Schizosaccharomyces pombe: one gene and its partners. The protein of the gene in region 1 interacts with the protein of each later gene in a pairwise test. Each region holds a gene or a part of one and is shown on either strand. Other genes may lie near its edges.

Region 1 (5,475 bases):
AGGTAATTCGAAAGAGAATTGCAAAGCTAAAAAAGAATGATAGCATGATAAAAACTCGAAAAAGAATCCACCTGTAGAAGACTTAAAGCGACGCATCCATGCTCGTGTGAATTCAATAGGCTGCCTATTGTAACCTATAGTAAAAGGCGTTGAAGTTCGTTTTGGGTAATACGGATGCATAGTCGAGGAAAATTGGTCAGTAAAAAATGGCGCAAGATACTTATGTGAAATAATCATTATTTTTTCGTCGAAGGATGAGCCCAAAGCATCAATGTACTTTTTCTTTACATCTAATGCGCTCAAGAAATGGTCGGCAAAAAGTGGAAGTTGAAAAAAGGAGAGAACCAAGATACTCGCACAAAATGTCGTTAATGAATACGGCAAGGACTTTTGAGAAAGCAGATGAACTACAAATGTCAATGTATCGTAAAGTATTAATTGGTGTTCCAAGTACAATAAAGCAGAGTGTTCCACTTTGTTCCAACAATGATGCTTGGCGATAGCAAGTATGGCCTTTGTATATGTGATACGTTCTGAAGTAGAAATATTAGATTGTAAACGTCGAAGAATGGATACCCACCAGTTATACAAAGAATGCCTAAGTTTATCCAATTCCGGTTCGGAAACGTTTTTAGTGGTTAAAGAAGCCAAATGTGGTAATAAAAACCCTCTTATAAGAACTACCTTATCAGAATCCTGCTGATTAATAAAATTGATGAATTGCTCGGATAAAGGACACTTTATTGGAGAAACCAGTGGCTCCGAAAGACGTAAGGTAGATTGGACGGCCTTATTTATTAAGCTAGAAGGCGCTATCTCCTCCGCATTAAGGCGTAGGCTTTGAGAAGACAACTGAGAAAAAGGAGAGGTAGAACGAGAAGAGGAATCAGAAGATGATGATGAGGGTGATTCGTTGTAAGGCTCATTTAAGATTGTTGAGGAATGGCTTACTAAAGTGTTTTCATATTTACCATAATCATCTGTAATCGAAAATGGTTCAAAGTTCGAATCAAGGTCGTCAGCTACAAGCACATTGGTTGTATCGACGGGATCATGTTCCTGAATACATTTTACCACAACAGGATAGTTTTTTGTTTGGGAACCCGAATGCTCTTCCTCTTTAAAGGAGGCTGTATTGGGAGGACCCATAATAGCGGCAAGGATCTCATATCGTGATTGAAAGTCACCCATTCAGAATTTCAGAAATGAAGCTAAATGTAAAGAAAAGAATAAGTGTGAAATGCAAATAAAAAGAATATAATTAATCCCTAGATTAAAACCAAATTAATTAACATGAGCCGTGCAATCACCACTAATAAAGAAATGAAGATTTAAAGGACAAGCTATGCAAATGCCAGAAAAAAATGTACCAAATATGCTAAAAGATGCTCAAAAGTTTTTCCTACAGTAGAGAAATTTTGACTTTTTTAATTTTTTAAAAACTTTATCGATAAAAGACAGAGAAATCGGTAACCAAAAGATTCGCGGTTAAAAAAACAAGAAAAATACTTCCGAGTTTAGAATACTTGTATTCTAAAAGAATGAAAAGTAAACAAGTAGAAGATATCTTTAAATTAAATATATGAAATCCGCAATGTAAATTAGCATCCCCAACACTTTCGTTCACACCCAGTGTAGATGCTTGGTTAAGGCTGAGTTTCCGAACCCACCAGCTTGAGGGTATACGGCTACATATGACATATATTTCAGTAGACAAACATAATAAAACCAATAATTAAAATTGTTTTTTTAAGCTAAATGAAAAGACATTTGAAATTTTAAGCTGTATTGTCTTACAGCTTCAACTCAGTGTTCATACAATGCCAATCTCCTTTTGGTAGTTAGTACCCAACAATCGCCTAAACCAAATAGAACCCGCCAACTTACCAAACAAAACGGAATATAAGGACAGAGAATAACTATATGCAACGGATTATAAATAACTGATATTGAGTTTTCTTTTAGATCAAATATTTCAAGTTTAATGTTGGGGAATCGCGAATGATAAAGTTAAGCAATACAATAGGTCAGTATGCGTTTTCGATTGAATGATTCATTCTCCGGAAAGAGTTGGACCATAGATAATGTACAATGGACTCCCCAAAATCTTGTAGCTTGGATTATGGAGCTCAATATTGGACTTAGTGATGAAGCAAAACTATTATTGCCGAACGGAATGTCTTTGAATGAAACCGTACTAAATAGTGAAAGTGATGTGGTTATTTACGTACTAGATCAAAACTTGTTGACTTTCACCTACGATGGTGATAAAATTCCTTCTATTCCTTCTCTGAAAGGACAACCAATATCTAATGTACTTACTGGGATTATAGCTGATTCTTCTTCAGATCAATGGAAAGATAAAATCAGCAAGTGTCTTTCATTATTATCTGATATTTTAGAGTCTTCTTCAAAGATTCATAATCAATTAAGCGTATGCCATGATGAGTATTCTACTAGTATTGTTTCTCCAGAAGTTGCAATGAATTATTTACAAAGAAGACAATCTGGTATGAAAGATTTACTTTTCGTTTTCTACGAAAGACTAGATCGAGTATCTGTGTCTGATTTACTTCATGATTTCCTCGCTCTACCAACTGGTTCTTTACCCATTACTCCTCTTAAAATACTTTCAACAAATTGGACTAAATTGGACTCCTGGTTAAACTCCATTTCAGCTCGTTATGCTGAAGCTCAAAAACGAGTCCAACAGTGCATTGGCGCCGCAAATAGTATTATCGTTTCCCCATTCAAGGAAGTTCCTTCAATCAAGGAAGGAGATGATGCTTATTATCATCTACGTTCCGTCGCTCAGGATGCAGCCAATATATTGCAAGAGATCCTTAAAATAGAGTCAACTTCAACTACTTCTCAAATCAAACCAAAATGTAATTACGAAACCGAAATTACTGATTGCATGGAAAAACTTCAAAGTAATCTGTCGGAATTAAAAAGTTCTAGAAAGTCATCACTAATATCTTTGAAATCTTTTTGGCTTTCCTTTTATAAGGTTTCTCTTAGATATGATGCATTGTACGAATATCTTCGACAAATAGCAGAAGAGCTTGACAGAAGCAAATTCGTTCTTTCTCAGTCTCGAAACATTTTTTCGCTATATATCGACATTTTAATGGAGGCACTGAGGAGGACTGAATGGCAGGAATCATACAATGTAAGCCATGATAGTTCTCTTCCTTTAGACCAGGAGAAGGAGCTTTCTCTTAGGAAGTCTTGGCTCAGTCATTTCTCTAATTTGCTTTTTAATCATGGCCAGCTAAAGTACTTACCAGTTTTAACTCGTGACGAAATTTCTAATTATTTACTCAATATTCAAGCACATCCGAATTACCAAACTTTTCATCAAATGCTAAGCAATCGGCTCTCAGAATATTTGGGCTTTCCTGGAAGTCCTCGAGAAGCCGTTTCCAATACGGTTCAAGCGAACAATTCATTACATGAAAAATTGGCAATGTATCAAAATCGTTGCAATAATTTAGAGGCAATGTTAAGCCATCAAAACGGCTTTAATTATAACATTAACAATGATGGTTTATCTCCAAATGCTCCACATCCACCCATCAATGAGCAGTCTAATTCTTCTCAGCCATTTTACCGTGTTTCCCCTAGTATTGTGCCTCTAAACGTAATTCGTAAATTAACTAATCGCAAAACTTCTTTTACCGACAGCCACATATTACGACTTCAAGATGAGGTTAATCAATTACGCAACGAATTAGATTTGGTAAATAAAAGAAATGAGGACTTATTAATTGAGCTTCAAGGGAAGGAAGAAAAGATCCAATACCTCGAAACTGAAAATGAGGAAGTGCTACAAAAATACGAAAATTTACAGGAGGAACTTTCATCAACACGGAAACTGCTTACGAAAAATGAAGCGGCAGTTGCAGAACAGCAATCAAACGAGGAGATGCATTCTAATGAACCGAACATATTAAACCTTTACTCCGTATTTGAGGGCAAAGTTGATAGCTTGCAAGAACTTTATAATGCTTTCAAGCTTCAACTCACGAGTTTGAAGCAAAAGGGCGAATACGCTACTCTTGCAAAAGATGCCGAAGCAGTACAACATATTATTGAAGAGAGAGATTATGCTCTTGCAGAGAAAGCTGATTTACTCAAACTTTCCGAGAATCGAAAAGAACAATGTAAGATATTAACTCAGAAACTTTATACCATTGTATTCCGGTGTAATGAGTTACAGTCTGTTCTTCGGGAATGCGTTACTCAGCCTGGATTTGATTCAGATAACGAAAGAGATGGCCATGCATCGATTCCAGATCGCCAAATTGAATTTAATTCCAAAGATTTACAGTATCTTTATTGGATGGATGGGGAGGATGCTGATAGGAATTTCCAGGAATTTTTGAACAGAATGAGTTCTTTAGATTTTGACTCTTTCCATAACTTTGTTGTCAGTGTTTTGACTCAAGCACATAATCATGAACTTCGTTGGAAACGTGAATTTCAATCTAACAGGGACAAGGCGCTGAAAGCTATTTTGGACTCTCAAAGTAAAGTCTCATTAAGGAATTTCAAACAAGGATCCTTGGTCTTGTTTTTGCCTACTCGACGTACCGCCGGTAACAAAAAGGTGTGGGCGGCTTTTAATGTTAACGCTCCTCATTATTATTTGAACACTCAACCGCATTTGAAACTTGAAAGCCGCGACTGGATGTTAGGAAGGGTAACTTCCATTGAAGATCGTACTGCTGATGATTCGACGGATAAATGGCTTCGCCTGCCTTCAGGTACAATATGGCATTTAGTGGAAGCTATCGATGAAAGATTTTAAATCATTATGTGACCTAGCTTATACCTTCACTTGCTTTTTCTTTGCTTGTATTTGTGGGACTGATTCTATATGACAGACATTTGGTATTATCATACTTCTATTTTTTCAGGTTTTGATCTGTTATGGCATTATTTACTGAAATTTGTTTTTTGGTCTCGCCTAGTAAGGTATCCGACGTAAATTAACGACTACTATTGCTGTAGCGTGTCTCTCGTCTTGTAACATGATAAATTTTTAATGAACTTTTAATCTATTCGTATATTATTTAATATGTAGAACGCAATCGCTCGCAATAAAAGTGATTTGCAAATATTATTTATCACACCGAACAACGCACTGGTGGTAAGGAGTACCTTATGTAAATTGCTTTGTGTAGTGTGTCCCATCAAAGTACAACCTGGAATTATGATTCCCTCAAAAAATATCCAAAAGATCAAGTTGGTTACGTTCGATGCTTTTGGAACAATCCTTCATTTAAGTAAACCTGTTCCAATTGTGTACAGCGAAGTCGCTCAGAAGTATGGAGTTCATGCAACTATTGATGAAATTGAACACAATAGTAATAAAGGTTAGCTTTTGGTTTCTATTTATCTAATAATTTAGCATTCAAGGATTTCAGTGAAAAGCATAAGAATCATGGAAAAAAGTCAGGATTAAATCCT
Region 2 (7,142 bases), on another chromosome or scaffold:
CAGTTATGAGCTATATTAGTGATAGGTAACATTATAACCCAGTTAATACAATACCTATACTCAGTTGCTACTTATACAACCTGTGTATTGTAATATAATAGATCACAAGGAAAACTCACCGCAGTTCTACGTATCCTTAAATCAGATACCAAACTGCGTAGCTTACAGTATAATAAATAACAGATTATTCCGTTACACAACACATTATTGACTAAACTTCCGTATATGAATTGAGTGTACGTTTTCACCATCATCAGTCAGTTCATTCGGTCGATACGCATGTGGCATGAATTTACCAGTTTTACGTGTTTCGTACAATGACAATTTGTGATTGCCGGTTTTGATGAATTCATCATGATACGATGGATTTGCTTCACTAGCAACGCCTATATGTTTAAAATGAAGACACTTAGGTCTAGAAATCTCTGTTTTTCTGTTTTCTGTTAAATCATTTTACCGAGAATAAAGGGGTATGTATGATGGATGGGGTACTTTCAATTCTTTGCTTTTCCTCGACCCACTGTAACCCAAGCAACATGCTAAAGAAAGCGAATCGGCCGTTTTCTCGATTTGAGTAGTATTATCATTGTTATTATAATTTGATATTTTAATATTGTTTTACTAGCAAGATCAACTTCCCTTTGTTCTTTTACATAGCGCAATTCCTCCTAGCTGAACACCTGACCGACCCCTTAACCCCTCCTCGTTCTCCCTTTGCCAAAATAAAAAAAAATAAAAAAAATAAAGAAAATATCAATAAATAATTTAATAAAAATTTTTTTTAAACAAAAATAGTTTTGAAACCCAAAATTAGGTAGACTATCTTTTGTATCATGCCGTAATTCGTATTCTCCGTCGTGTTTGCCAAAATTCAATCATCACTCAGATACTGTCAATAATAGCTTTTATATTTCAAATTATTCATCAATTTCATTTGTACTTTATTCATTTATTCCATTTTTCAACTTTTATTTAGATATCCTTACTCTTGTCTTTTTTACGTTTGTTTATGTCTTTTTGATGGATGGTTCTTGCAACTCGTTTTGCCATCTCCATCTCCCGCTGCTACTCTAAGCAAAAGCATTGCCGATGCATAACAACGCCTTCCGTAATTTTTATTAGTCCTCCGTATGACCACATTTGTCTGTAGTAAAAATGAGCTGTCCAGTCGAGAACTCCAGCTTCGTATGCATGCTTCCGGATCCTATCGTGCTCAAAGACCATCCCGCTATCTTACTTTACAATGTAGATTTGAACACGCCCCAGTGTGGAGGTAAACTTTCTGGGCCTTTTGAGCAATGGTAAGTACGTGTCTTCCGTTCATTATCCCAATCAGCTACAATTTATCGCCAATACTCTCCAATGAATGGAAGAACAATTACCAAACAAACACTGGGGATTGTGCCCACAGTAGATTGCGTGTAGAAGGGATAACAAACATGCTATTGCCATGCATGCATCTACACCAAGGAAATTAGAAAAAAATTTGTTCAAAAACGAAAAACTATTCTTTTTGATAATATGTGTAAAAATAAAATAAAATAAAATAAAATAAAATAAAATAAAATAAAATACCAATACATTTTGTTTCATATAGAATATAGAACTGCTCATAAATTAAAAAATAGCCTGCATCAAAAAAATTTATTCCAATTCCCTCGTCTTTACCTAAAACAACTAATACTGTACTACTTTTTTTAAATCGCATTCCTTTAGAGCACGCACTTTTCGAACCAATACACCGCCATTCTATGCAATGCTTCCCCTTTCCCTATTGTAATTCTACCGATAATTTTATTCTCGGAGTTGTTTTATGACTTTCTAATTTACTTTGTAAATTTTTCTTTTTTTGAAAGCTCCTCCATCTGTCCTTGCTCACGTTTGCCATCTTTCCATTTCAACACTGTAGTGTACTGCGCCACAACATCCGCACTGAGTGTCTTTTGCACATACCACTGATTTTACCGACATTCCCCACTTTTAAACAACTTGTAAGCACAGGGCTTGTTGAGTCCATCAACTTGCTCTTTCGACATCTTCTAGGTCGTTGACTTTACGTAGTATAAAGTGGCATTGATGCTCGAACACAATTAACTAATCTTAACACATTGATAATTGGTTTCTTTGTGTTTTAAACAAAAAAAAATTTCATCTCTTTTGTTGTCCCATATATATATTGATTGCGTGTAACCTTGAAATAACCTCAATTTCTGTACCGGGGTCGTTGCGTATCGAAACACTATTGTTATCGTCCTAGCATATTTGGATACTGTGTACTACACTATTGTCGTGCTCTCTTTTACTTTACTTTACTCACTTTTCCTTCCTTCTTGCCCGACACGACATTGAAACTGCTGGCTTCCTAGCCTTGCTCCTCCTTTTCGACCGGACCTGCTACGTGCTGTAAATTGATTAATCGTATACAATTGTGGTTTTTGACAATTTTCTTTTATTCTGTCGATTTTCTCTTTTTCTCTTATCACGACTTTCTGCTTCTCTTCTACAATATTTTGCTAATCGGCTTGTGTTGTATCAACAGCAAAGCTAAGTGACTTGACATTACTAGAATTCTTCCTTTCCTTCAAAAACACGTGCAAGTTTGTTCCATTTTAATATCTACGTTTCCTTCCTTGATTGCACTATTTCATCATTAGAGGGAACCACTTTTCTATATTACCAAGCACCTACTTATTTGGGATTTATTTATTTTTATTTCCTACGGCTAACTCGATTACGATTAGTGCGCGGCTTTTTCTCTTTGGAAAAATTTTTCTTGTTGGAACGGTTGTCAATCGCGTGCTATATTGCTTTCCTTCTTACCCGTTTACAATTTAGCTTTCCCTTTTCTCCTTTTGCAATTTTTTTTGGGTTTTTTTTAAAACGTACACACGCACTGTGTATTCCATCTAGCCATCAATCCTTCATTTTTTTTCCACCGATTAATCCTTTTCTATATATACCGGAATTTTCCGTCTTTTCTTTTTCGGACACTTTTACGAGCTGTTGCGAATTTCGTTATTCTTAGTTTGTGTTATTTGCTTTTAGCCGCCCTTTTTCTTCTTCTCTGCATCAACATAACAGGTCAGGGACCAGACAGGACAGGACGAAACAACAACGTAATCGTTCAACCAACTTCTATTACCATCGACCTCTAACTTACCGACTTACCACCACAACACTTTCCTCCAGAATAGTTGAAAGCCTTTTGACTTTGCTGAATCTTTCTTTGTGTGTCCGTGTGTGTGTCTGTTTTTTTCAAATTCATCACTGTTTGAATATCGGCATCTCATCCTTTTTCTCAATTTCTCAATTTCTTGCCTGAGATACCGTTTGTTCTTTCCGTTGAATACTTTTTTTCTGCAGTGTGAAAAAATTCCGTTTTACGTTGACAAAACATTTATCTCGGATTGAAAGTTGTTTTCGTAGCTGTTTGTTTTAGTCTATTCCTTTCAACCGGTTTTCTTGTCTCTGTTAGATTTGTTTTCTCTTCTTCATTCTGAGTCAAGCTCTGGGTTTTTTTCTTTGTTGGAAAACCATTCTCTTTTCAATTTTATTTCTCTTTTCTGATATCGAAGCAAAAGAGCTCCTAAACGCTCTCAATTACTGTTTAACGTAACAGATATATTAACATCTTAGTATATTTGCGTTTTATTTGTTGAAACTTTCGCATATCCCCTTAAAGCTTTTTGTGGCAATCCTTATCTGATATTGATTTATTCTTTTGATTCGCCATTTCTTTCGACGTTTTTAAAGTACTCTAAAAGAGAAATTATTTAAAATACTTTAAATTGGGCTCTGTTCTTTTCTCCATCCCACTTTTGTATCTTTGCAGCAATAGTCGGTTTGGTTGATAATCCCTATATTTCTTTGGACAAGATATTATCTTTTGCTGAAAAAACACCCCATCTTTCGATTTTGAAATTTTTTTTTCTGTTTCAATTTCTTATTTCTTTCTACTGATTACTCTCCTCATCAATTCTCACTCTTTTTTCATTTCAAATCTCGCTTTTATCCTATATCAGTGATAAAACTCCTGTTTGATGCTCACCTTGCACATTGGCACTAACTTTAACGTTTTCCCTTTATATCCGCAAATTCCCTTTTTTTTGTGCTTCGTATATTAAAAGCGTTCCCTTATTAGGTTTTTTTATACATTAAGGATTTACGATTAGTCTCATTTTGTTGTGTTTTGAGATTTGTGTTTTATGTTCATCTGTTGTATTCACTTACTTCAGAGAAAAAAAAGGCGTTTTTGTTCTTTTGGTTTAAATTTTATTCCCTAAAATTTGCATTCAACTCGGATTTTTTCTTTGTTTGACGACTGTTTTTTGAAAAGGATTGCTTTGGGTCACAAACACAATACATCCATCTATTAAACTTTTGTCTTCTATACTTTTACTTCCTTCTCAAAATCTTTCCTTATATCATTGTGTGGTTTCTCTCCGTTTTCTTGTATCTTTTCTGTTCGACTTCTGAAAAAACAGCGTCTCTATACTATTGATTTTCATCTTAAATTTGCGTGTTTTCTTTTTAACTCTACGTTTCTCTCGTTTTTCTGCATATTACTTTCGGTGATTACCCTGTAATTCTATTTTGAAGGTTGACGTTTTTTTCAAGTTCCTGATTCCATAATTCTATTTAACACAAGTTTTTTACTGGAATTTTTTAAGTTATTCTGCGCAACCTTTTTTTGATTCATTTTACAACTTCTTTGTTCGTTTATAACTAATCTTCTATTGTATCACTTTTTTCTAGTGAACTTCATTAATTTATTGCGTGTCTGTTTTTTATTCTTTTAACCATGGTTTATTCTCCTATGTCTCGACCTCAAGTACCTCTGGCTTTTCGCCAATGGCCCCCCTACAATTATAAGAGTGATCCCCTTGTCAACTCAAAACTATCTCAGTCTACTACGTCTGTTAATGCAGGACCCAGTTTAATAAGTCCATCATTCCTTGACTCCTACGCCAACTCCTCATCTTTACTTCACAAGCCATCTACAAATTTGGGCAGTTTAAAGACATCTAGTCTTCTCGCCTCTGATGAAGTTTTCCCTTCTTCAGTCATGCCCCAGCTTCGTCCATTGGATTCAAGTTTATCTGTTTCTCCTGAAATGGACGGTTGGCCATGGCATCACAATTCTTCTTCTAACCCACAGGGATACGCATGGACACCTTCATTACTTTCTTCCAACGCTACTAGCTATTTACATTCTGGTAGTTCTCCTCATGGAAACACAAGCAATCATCCTTCACCTATATCATCCTTGGAGAGTCTTCCTTCTCGTAGTAGCACTGGTAGTGGTAGTCTTGATTTTTCCGGCCTTGCCAATCTCCACGATGATTCCAAATCACTGGCCATGTCTTTGAACATGGCTGGCGTCCCTGTATCCGTCGATGAGAACTCTCAAACTTCGTTTCCTTTTGTTCATGGTCAACCGGAATCTACCATGTCTAGAAAACCTAAGCTGTGCGTTCAATCGAAATCAATGACAAACATCCGCAACTCTGTTGCTAAACCGTCGTTAGTTAGACAATCGCATTCAGCGGGGGTTATTCCCATCAAGCCTACAGCATCGAATGCCTCAATTCGCAATGCTCCTTCCAATTTATCAAAGCAATTTTCACCTTCGGGTAATAGTCCTCTTACTGAGGCTTCCAAACCTTTCGTTCCTCAACCATCAGCTGCAGGAGATTTTCGCCAAGCTAAGGGTTCAGCTAGCCATCCTCATGGTTCTGGCAGTAGTAATGGGGTAGCTCCCAACGGCAAGCGCGCATTATATAAGACCGAGCCTTGCAAGAATTGGCAAATTAGTGGAACTTGCCGTTATGGCTCTAAATGTCAATTTGCGCATGGCAACCAGGAACTGAAAGAACCTCCTCGTCACCCAAAATACAAAAGCGAGCGTTGCCGATCTTTCATGATGTATGGTTATTGTCCTTACGGATTGCGATGCTGCTTTTTGCATGATGAATCCAATGCTCAAAAAAGTGCAACTATTAAGCAATCTCCTTGATATCACATCAGCTTGTATAAGATGACTTTTGTTCTTTGTTGTTATGCAATCTGGGTGAGATTAATTTATTATGACGCTTACTTTCCTATCCTCCTTGGTTTTCTTATACGGTTATTATTTATATTGTTCTTCTGTAACATTATGTGAGCTTTTCTTTTGCAATCGCCTTTACCTTGTTTTTATTTATGGTTTTATCGCAAGGTTTGAGTTTGCCAGTCATGTTCACACTTTATTCTTTATTTATTTGATGACCTTATTGGTCAAGATAGAATTTATAAGAGAAAAAAATTAAAGAAGATCATGAGTTAGTTACTCTGTCATATGTCAGGGTACTGTTTTTATTTTTGCAAATCATGTACCTTTAGCTTTTTGCAGAATGGCGATTTAAAGAGTTATGAGAAGATTGGACAATATATATTTATAGTATTAAATTCGAATCTTGTTTACTTCGTCTAGCAATGCGATACGCATGAATCGGGGTTTTATTAGATTTGTGTGGTATCTGTAATATACTGTTATAATTCGAATCAAGGGAGTTTCTTAAAATACCCAATCTTATTACGAAAATGATTTATGCAATCAGGGAGATTTGATGAGCGAAGCCTATGTATTATTTGAATAACAGTAACGTTACTGCAAAAATTTAAGTAGTTATTTGAATGTTGTGCACTTTTCATAAACATAGATTTGCAATATGCATCAAAAATTTGTAACGCAATTCTGTACTGCTTACAAACAATTTTATTCACGAGAAAACTACCAGGCTATACATAGTAACACATACAAGCATTTTTGGAAAGTTAGTTAAAAAAATTCATTAAACTCGGACTACTTTACTCGTTATTTAATCGCTATCGGCTTGCTGTTCCAAGATAACTAATGAATTGATCTTCTGCAGAGCCAATTCCAAACATTGCCGCTTATGCTGCAACTGTAGCTGTGACTTGAGACGAGGATTTTCATTGACAAATGCATTCAACTGTTCAGAACTCAAAGAATGGATGAGACGCTGATCCAGTTCACGTGGAAATTGGTAATAAAACTCAGAAAGCAGCTCAATATTAATAAATAAAACTGCGGTATTAACCAGTTTATCAGAAACGGCATTTAAAAAAATTTCAGGACA
Region 3 (5,339 bases), on another chromosome or scaffold:
CTACAGATCCCCCAATTTTTGTAAAAATTGTCGATGTATCCCTTAAAATTTTATTCAACTGGGACCTATCCAACATTTCTCTTAATCAAAAACTTTGCGGTTATGCACATCTTTACTCTTTTTCAAGTGTAAAGAGTGTTGTTCACTGGCTTCAGATTATAAAAAACTGTACTTTCCAGCTTTATGACGACGATATGGCTCTTCTAGCTGGATATGGTTCACGCCATTACCAAGTTCCTCTGTTTCCTACGAATAATATCAAATGCCCAATGCTGATACTATGGGGAGGTAAAGATACTTTGATCAATATGGAAGTAATGAGAACTGCTCTTCCTCCCCATGCAAAGGAAGTTTCGGTAAGCCTTTTATTTTATAGGTTTGTTGCTCAATATGCTAATATAAGTTAGATTGCTCATTATGAACATCTTGACTTTCTATGGGGCCAGGATGTTAAAGAGGAAGTGTTCCCAGTTGTAATAGATGCCCTTAAGCATCATTCATTAGGCAAAGCCAAACATTTCGTTAAACAAAACGGTTTTCATTAATGATTAATTAATAATTTAAAAAAAAAACTTCTATATAACGCTTAGATAGATATTTAGAACAACTTTAATTTTGTCAGACTATTTTCAACTTTCATAAACAGCATATCGAAGTGACTTCGAAGAACCATTGTTTCGAGAACGATGCCACGAAATAATGAACTGTTTACCACTTTCACTAGGCTGACTAAAAGCAACTTCTGCAGGCGATATAACGTAACCGTAAATGAATTTTTTTAAAGCATTGTCTAATAGTAAACTTGCTATCCCTTGTTTGCGTCTTGAAGCTGATACCCAAATCCTGGAAATACCCAATACAAACCCCTTTCGTAGATTTTCGTTTTTTATATATACTGCGGAAGAGGTGCTATTGTTGTTGTTGAGTTCAAGTTCATCGACTATGTATGCAGAAGATATACGCTCTGCCAGAAGTAATCCGACACATTTCTTATCTGATATGAATAGAAATGTGGTATATTTATCTACCCCAATTGTTTCAATAGGCTCACTTGAAAGTTCGTTATTTACGAAAGATAAAGCTTCCTCTGCTTTTCTTTGATCAATTAATGAGCTTTCTGAATTTATGCTGTATATGCAATCGGAACTCAAACCATAGTTAACGCGATAAATAGGAGAGCATTGAAAGGACACAGTAACACCTCCTAGAACCCGAGAATGAAACCTAGAATGAAGCAAAATATCTTCTTCGCTCGTTGAATTGTACTCCATAGAACATTCTGAACAAGTTACGGTGGAATTAGCCAAATCTAAGTGTAACTGGGTCATGTTGTCTGAGCTGTTGGAAATTGCTTTTGGCGTTTGCTTTTTCCAATTTGGTGTCAGATTTCCACCGTTTCCTAAAAATGCGTCCAAAAATGCTCTTTTGTTGTTTGTTTCATCGGATAAAGGTGCATAATGCTTGCTACCGGTTTTCCTTCCATATGTTTTAGGCTTTACTTGCTTAGGTTTATCATGGGATGGCGGTACTAAGTTATTATAGCGTTCTTTTCTCGAAATGGAGAGAGCTATATGATAATCTTCATGTTCATTTCTTTCGGATAAAGTAATTTTCTGTTCGCATTCTTCACACGTGTAAGTTTCATCAGCTGAATTCTCCGTTGGTTTAGAAACAGCGGTCTGTTGTAGCATATCAAAAATCCCTTTACCTTTACCTCTTTTCAACCTTTTAGGTGACTTTATATCTTTTTCCGAAGATAATTCAAAAGAATTATTTTCCCTCATATTTTCGTTCAATAATTTAGCGCGTCCCTCAATAGAAGGTGAAACAGAAGTAGACATGTAGATTTCATCATTGGACTTTTTTAAAAAACCCTCAATTCCCCTAGAATTACGATCAACCTCTATGATGTTTTGAAAGCTAATAGATAAGTTTGAAATCGGATATACATCGAATTCCTGTTGCAGTTGACGCAACAGTTTGGATGTTGCTTCAACAATAAACTGAGTGCTAATATCAACATTCATAGGTATTTGACTTGACCTTGACTTTCTCAGAAATCTTGATACAACAGTCAAACAAATGGTCTTGGGCCTTCTCATTCCTTCAAGTTCAAGGAATCGTGATCGAAGATCAGATGCGAATACTTGAAACCAGTTAATTGCATCTTCTTCAGACTTCACTTTTTGCTGAGAAAAATTTTTAGCCGACAACATTGATTTAATCTGAACTTGTGTAGTAATCTCAGTGTTATCAATTCCATGGCACAAATTCCAAACGAGTGGACCGTTAGTTTGACCAAGCTTATCTATCAAAAAGTCCATACTCATATTCCAAACATCCTTAATAGAATCTGTTCCTAATAAATTAATTATTTCTTCTCCAAATTTTCCGCCCAGCATTCTTATATCAGTAATCTTTAATGACACTAAATAATCTTGAATTGCATTTTTCGTTAAAATAGTTTGCTTGTTTGGTTTATTACGCGAGCTGACAAGCTTTGAAAGCATTGGGTTAAAAGAAACTCCTGCTGAGCACGTGTATTTGAGTTGCAAGTATATATCATCGCGAATTTCTTTCACGATTTTTGCAGCGTAAAATAAAAAAACATCATCCCAATCCCTTTCATAATCTTCTTTCGTTCTATCTACAACTTCTTCTTCAATGACCATTCCAAACTCAGCAGGCCATAGTAGCACTGGAGCCTGCGGCAAAGCAACATTTGAGTCCTCAGAGGGAATTTTCAAGTAAGGATATTCCTCCAACACAATCCGTTTAACATCACTCGTAAGTTCAATAAAACATTCGTCAATACTAGCCTTCTTAACCACAGGCGCATGTTTCTTTATGATGTTAAGAATCTTAACGCTTTCGTGCCGATAAGGATCTAAACAGGTTTTATAGTAGTTAGGATTTGGGTTTTCATGGTACTTAGCCTCTGACTCCCCAGCTTTCCAAGTTTTTACATGAGCGGTACAAAGCTCTGGACATTTCTTTTTTGCTTCAGTAACTGTTTCATGGCGTGAAATATTCGCTGCACGGGCTGCGTAGTTTACAGCAATAAGCCCTTGCCATTGTTGAACAGCAAGGGGAACTGAATGGTCTAATCCTAGGCGAACACTTTCGACTTGAGCGTAAAAAGCATCCTGATCAATATGAGCTACAACCCTTAACGGTGAATTTTGTGTACCTGCTTTATCACAATATTGCAAGTCCTTCCAAGAGAATTTGCTTTTGCCTAATTCCATTCAGTTCATACCCTCAAAAAAGTTCTTTAATAAGAATCGCTCAAGTTCTATAGCGCGTTCGTGTTGAATTTAGTGGACTAAGGTACTAGATATAGCAACGTTACCTACTACCAGATACTAAAGCAAAATAAATTCAAACTCTCATAATGTTGTAACCAAAATAAATCATCAAAGGAAATTAGATGTTAAACTTAAAAACTGAATTGAGAGAAAACATTCAGGAATTTTATTTAAGAGACTACTTTAATATGTAAACATATATATAAACACAATGAATATACTGCCGCCATGAAAGGTATTGTATATGATGAACAATTAAGATGAAATTGCTGTTAACAAAGCTGCAAAATATTCAAATGCTTCAATTTATTGCATATGATGCTACCTCATAGCAAATTAATCCTTCATTCATCATTTTCAAAATCTTCTCTTTTGGGCACCGACATATTTAACATGTCCGTATCACTAGTGGATTTCATAGATTGTTCGTAACTTTTTAGTTTATAGCTGTTGACTCTGGATCGTATCTTATTATCTAATTTCGACCTTATTGGGGAATTGAACACAGCCAGAGCTATCAATATATATATATGCACAATAAAATATAGCTCTTTCCAAACGTGTATTGATTCTTTTAGATTCAAAAGAAGGAAAGAGATAATTAGATAGGAGAGAGAGAGGTTTGTTGCTACCATACCAATAACATCATAGACTCGCTTAAAAGGCCCAGGAGTTTCCATATCTGGTTTAAGGAAAAATGGGCGAACATGGCGACGCGTGTATTTTGCAACTGTTTGGATAAAGGCTGCGGAAACAAAAGTCAAATAATATCCAGCAGAAACTCCATGCCACATTGCACTAACAGTGAATGTGCTTAGCGTACTTTTGAACCCTGGACGCTTTCCCTTCTTTGCAACTCTCAAATAAACGTAATTTCGAAGCCATTTATTGGTATTCATGTTCCAAGCCTCAAGAGCACATTTGATATTATCTGCGAATTCGAACTTAATAGGGTCAATATTCTTCACTCGATCCCAACGAGGATGCTTAGAAGAATCCAGGCCATTATAACCAATGCCTGACAATATACATGCACCGTCAGAAAGTTCCCATGCGCCATAATATTTCATTCTTGCAACAAAAGCAGTTATGCAAACGTATCCATATTTTAGCAAAATAGGGGAGGAAGCAAACTTAGGTGTAAGTAGAAACTTTAAAGGATAGATTGAGCTTCCGGTAATAAATAAAATCAGCCACAACAGACCTCGCCAGCAACGACCTAAGGCTGGTTCCAAACTGTGTGGTGTTATCTGTTTTTCATAAGGATCAGCCAAAGGCTTAAACATAGAAAGGGTTATAAACCTTTCGTAATCAACATAATCAAAAGCTGGACCAACAAGTAATGAGGGAAAGAAAAATACGTATCCAAGGAAATACAAGATATTAGGAATCTTTCTCAACGCGCGGTCTTTTTGATAAGAAGATAATTCACTTGAAGGAAGACGACCGTCGTAAACAGACCAGGCAAACGCTGTAAGCTTCATACATAGTACCATTTGTGAAGCAGTAATATCAGTATTTTCTGAAGGGTAAATGTACCGAATAACATGGCTGCTAAATGTATGGCCAAGGATTACTATAAATATGATCCATGGCATTCGTGACGATCGATAAAACGCGGCCACGAAATATGTGAACAAAGCGTCAAATAGCAAAACTAAAACGCCATCGTAAAGATGATGAACACCAATGAGATAAAATAAACCTATGCTTATTGAAAATAAGTTTCTAATCCATGGAGCCGAAGGAAGTCTTTTTAGTATGCCGGCAAACGGGTATGCTGAAAGAAAACAAAACAGTAACTTGAGCTGATCCGGGTGGACTCCAAGGAAAGAAGAGAAGTATTCAAATGGTATATCAATAAGATAAGCCATTGTTAATGTAGACAATACTGTCTCCTGCTTTGGGAATGCCTTTGAATTGAACAACTGATATTAAACACTCAACAATCGATTATTCTTTAATCACGAATGTACAGTGAAGATTGTACCCAGAGTTTGGTGTTGGTGAAGTTTTAGCTCATGAACACCA

Evidence for each region.
Region 2: the proteins of atg11 (region 1) and zfs1 interact in a two-hybrid assay, tested with the Schizosaccharomyces pombe proteins (2 studies listed by BioGRID).
Region 3: the proteins of atg11 (region 1) and eso1 interact in a two-hybrid assay, tested with the Schizosaccharomyces pombe proteins (2 studies listed by BioGRID).

What each region holds. Positions count from the first base shown.
Region 1 is NC_003424.3:2,629,927-2,635,401, reverse strand, and holds atg11 (autophagy associated protein kinase regulator Atg11), read left to right. Parts: upstream 1-1,850; 5' UTR 1,851-2,032; coding exon 2,033-4,813; 3' UTR 4,814-4,954; downstream 4,955-5,475. Other genes in the region: protein ahk1, read right to left, coding at 1-1,191; SPOM_SPAC7D4.05 (hydrolase), read left to right, coding at 5,219-5,381, 5,417-5,475. UniProt on the Schizosaccharomyces pombe protein: Involved in cytoplasm to vacuole transport (Cvt), pexophagy, mitophagy and nucleophagy. Recruits mitochondria for their selective degradation via autophagy (mitophagy) during starvation.
Region 2 is NC_003423.3:3,482,328-3,489,469, reverse strand, and holds zfs1 (zinc finger protein), read left to right. Parts: upstream 1-2,023; 5' UTR 2,024-4,801; coding exon 4,802-6,016; 3' UTR 6,017-6,622; downstream 6,623-7,142. Other genes in the region: dynamin family GTPase Msp1, read right to left, coding at 6,861-7,142. UniProt on the Schizosaccharomyces pombe protein: Binds to specific AU-rich elements (ARE) in the 3'-untranslated region of target mRNAs and promotes their degradation. Binds to ARE present in the arz1 mRNA and stimulates the rate of arz1 mRNA decay.
Region 3 is NC_003423.3:4,276,344-4,281,682, forward strand, and holds eso1 (mitotic cohesin N-acetyltransferase/DNA polymerase eta Eso1 fusion protein), read right to left. Parts: upstream 3,311-5,339; 5' UTR 3,249-3,310; coding exon 630-3,248; 3' UTR 546-629; downstream 1-545. Other genes in the region: SPOM_SPBC16A3.12C (triglyceride lipase-cholesterol esterase), read left to right, coding at 7-356, 408-545; ale1 (MBOAT family O-acyltransferase), read right to left, coding at 3,653-5,182. UniProt on the Schizosaccharomyces pombe protein: Probable acetyltransferase required for the establishment of sister chromatid cohesion and couple the processes of cohesion and DNA replication to ensure that only sister chromatids become paired together.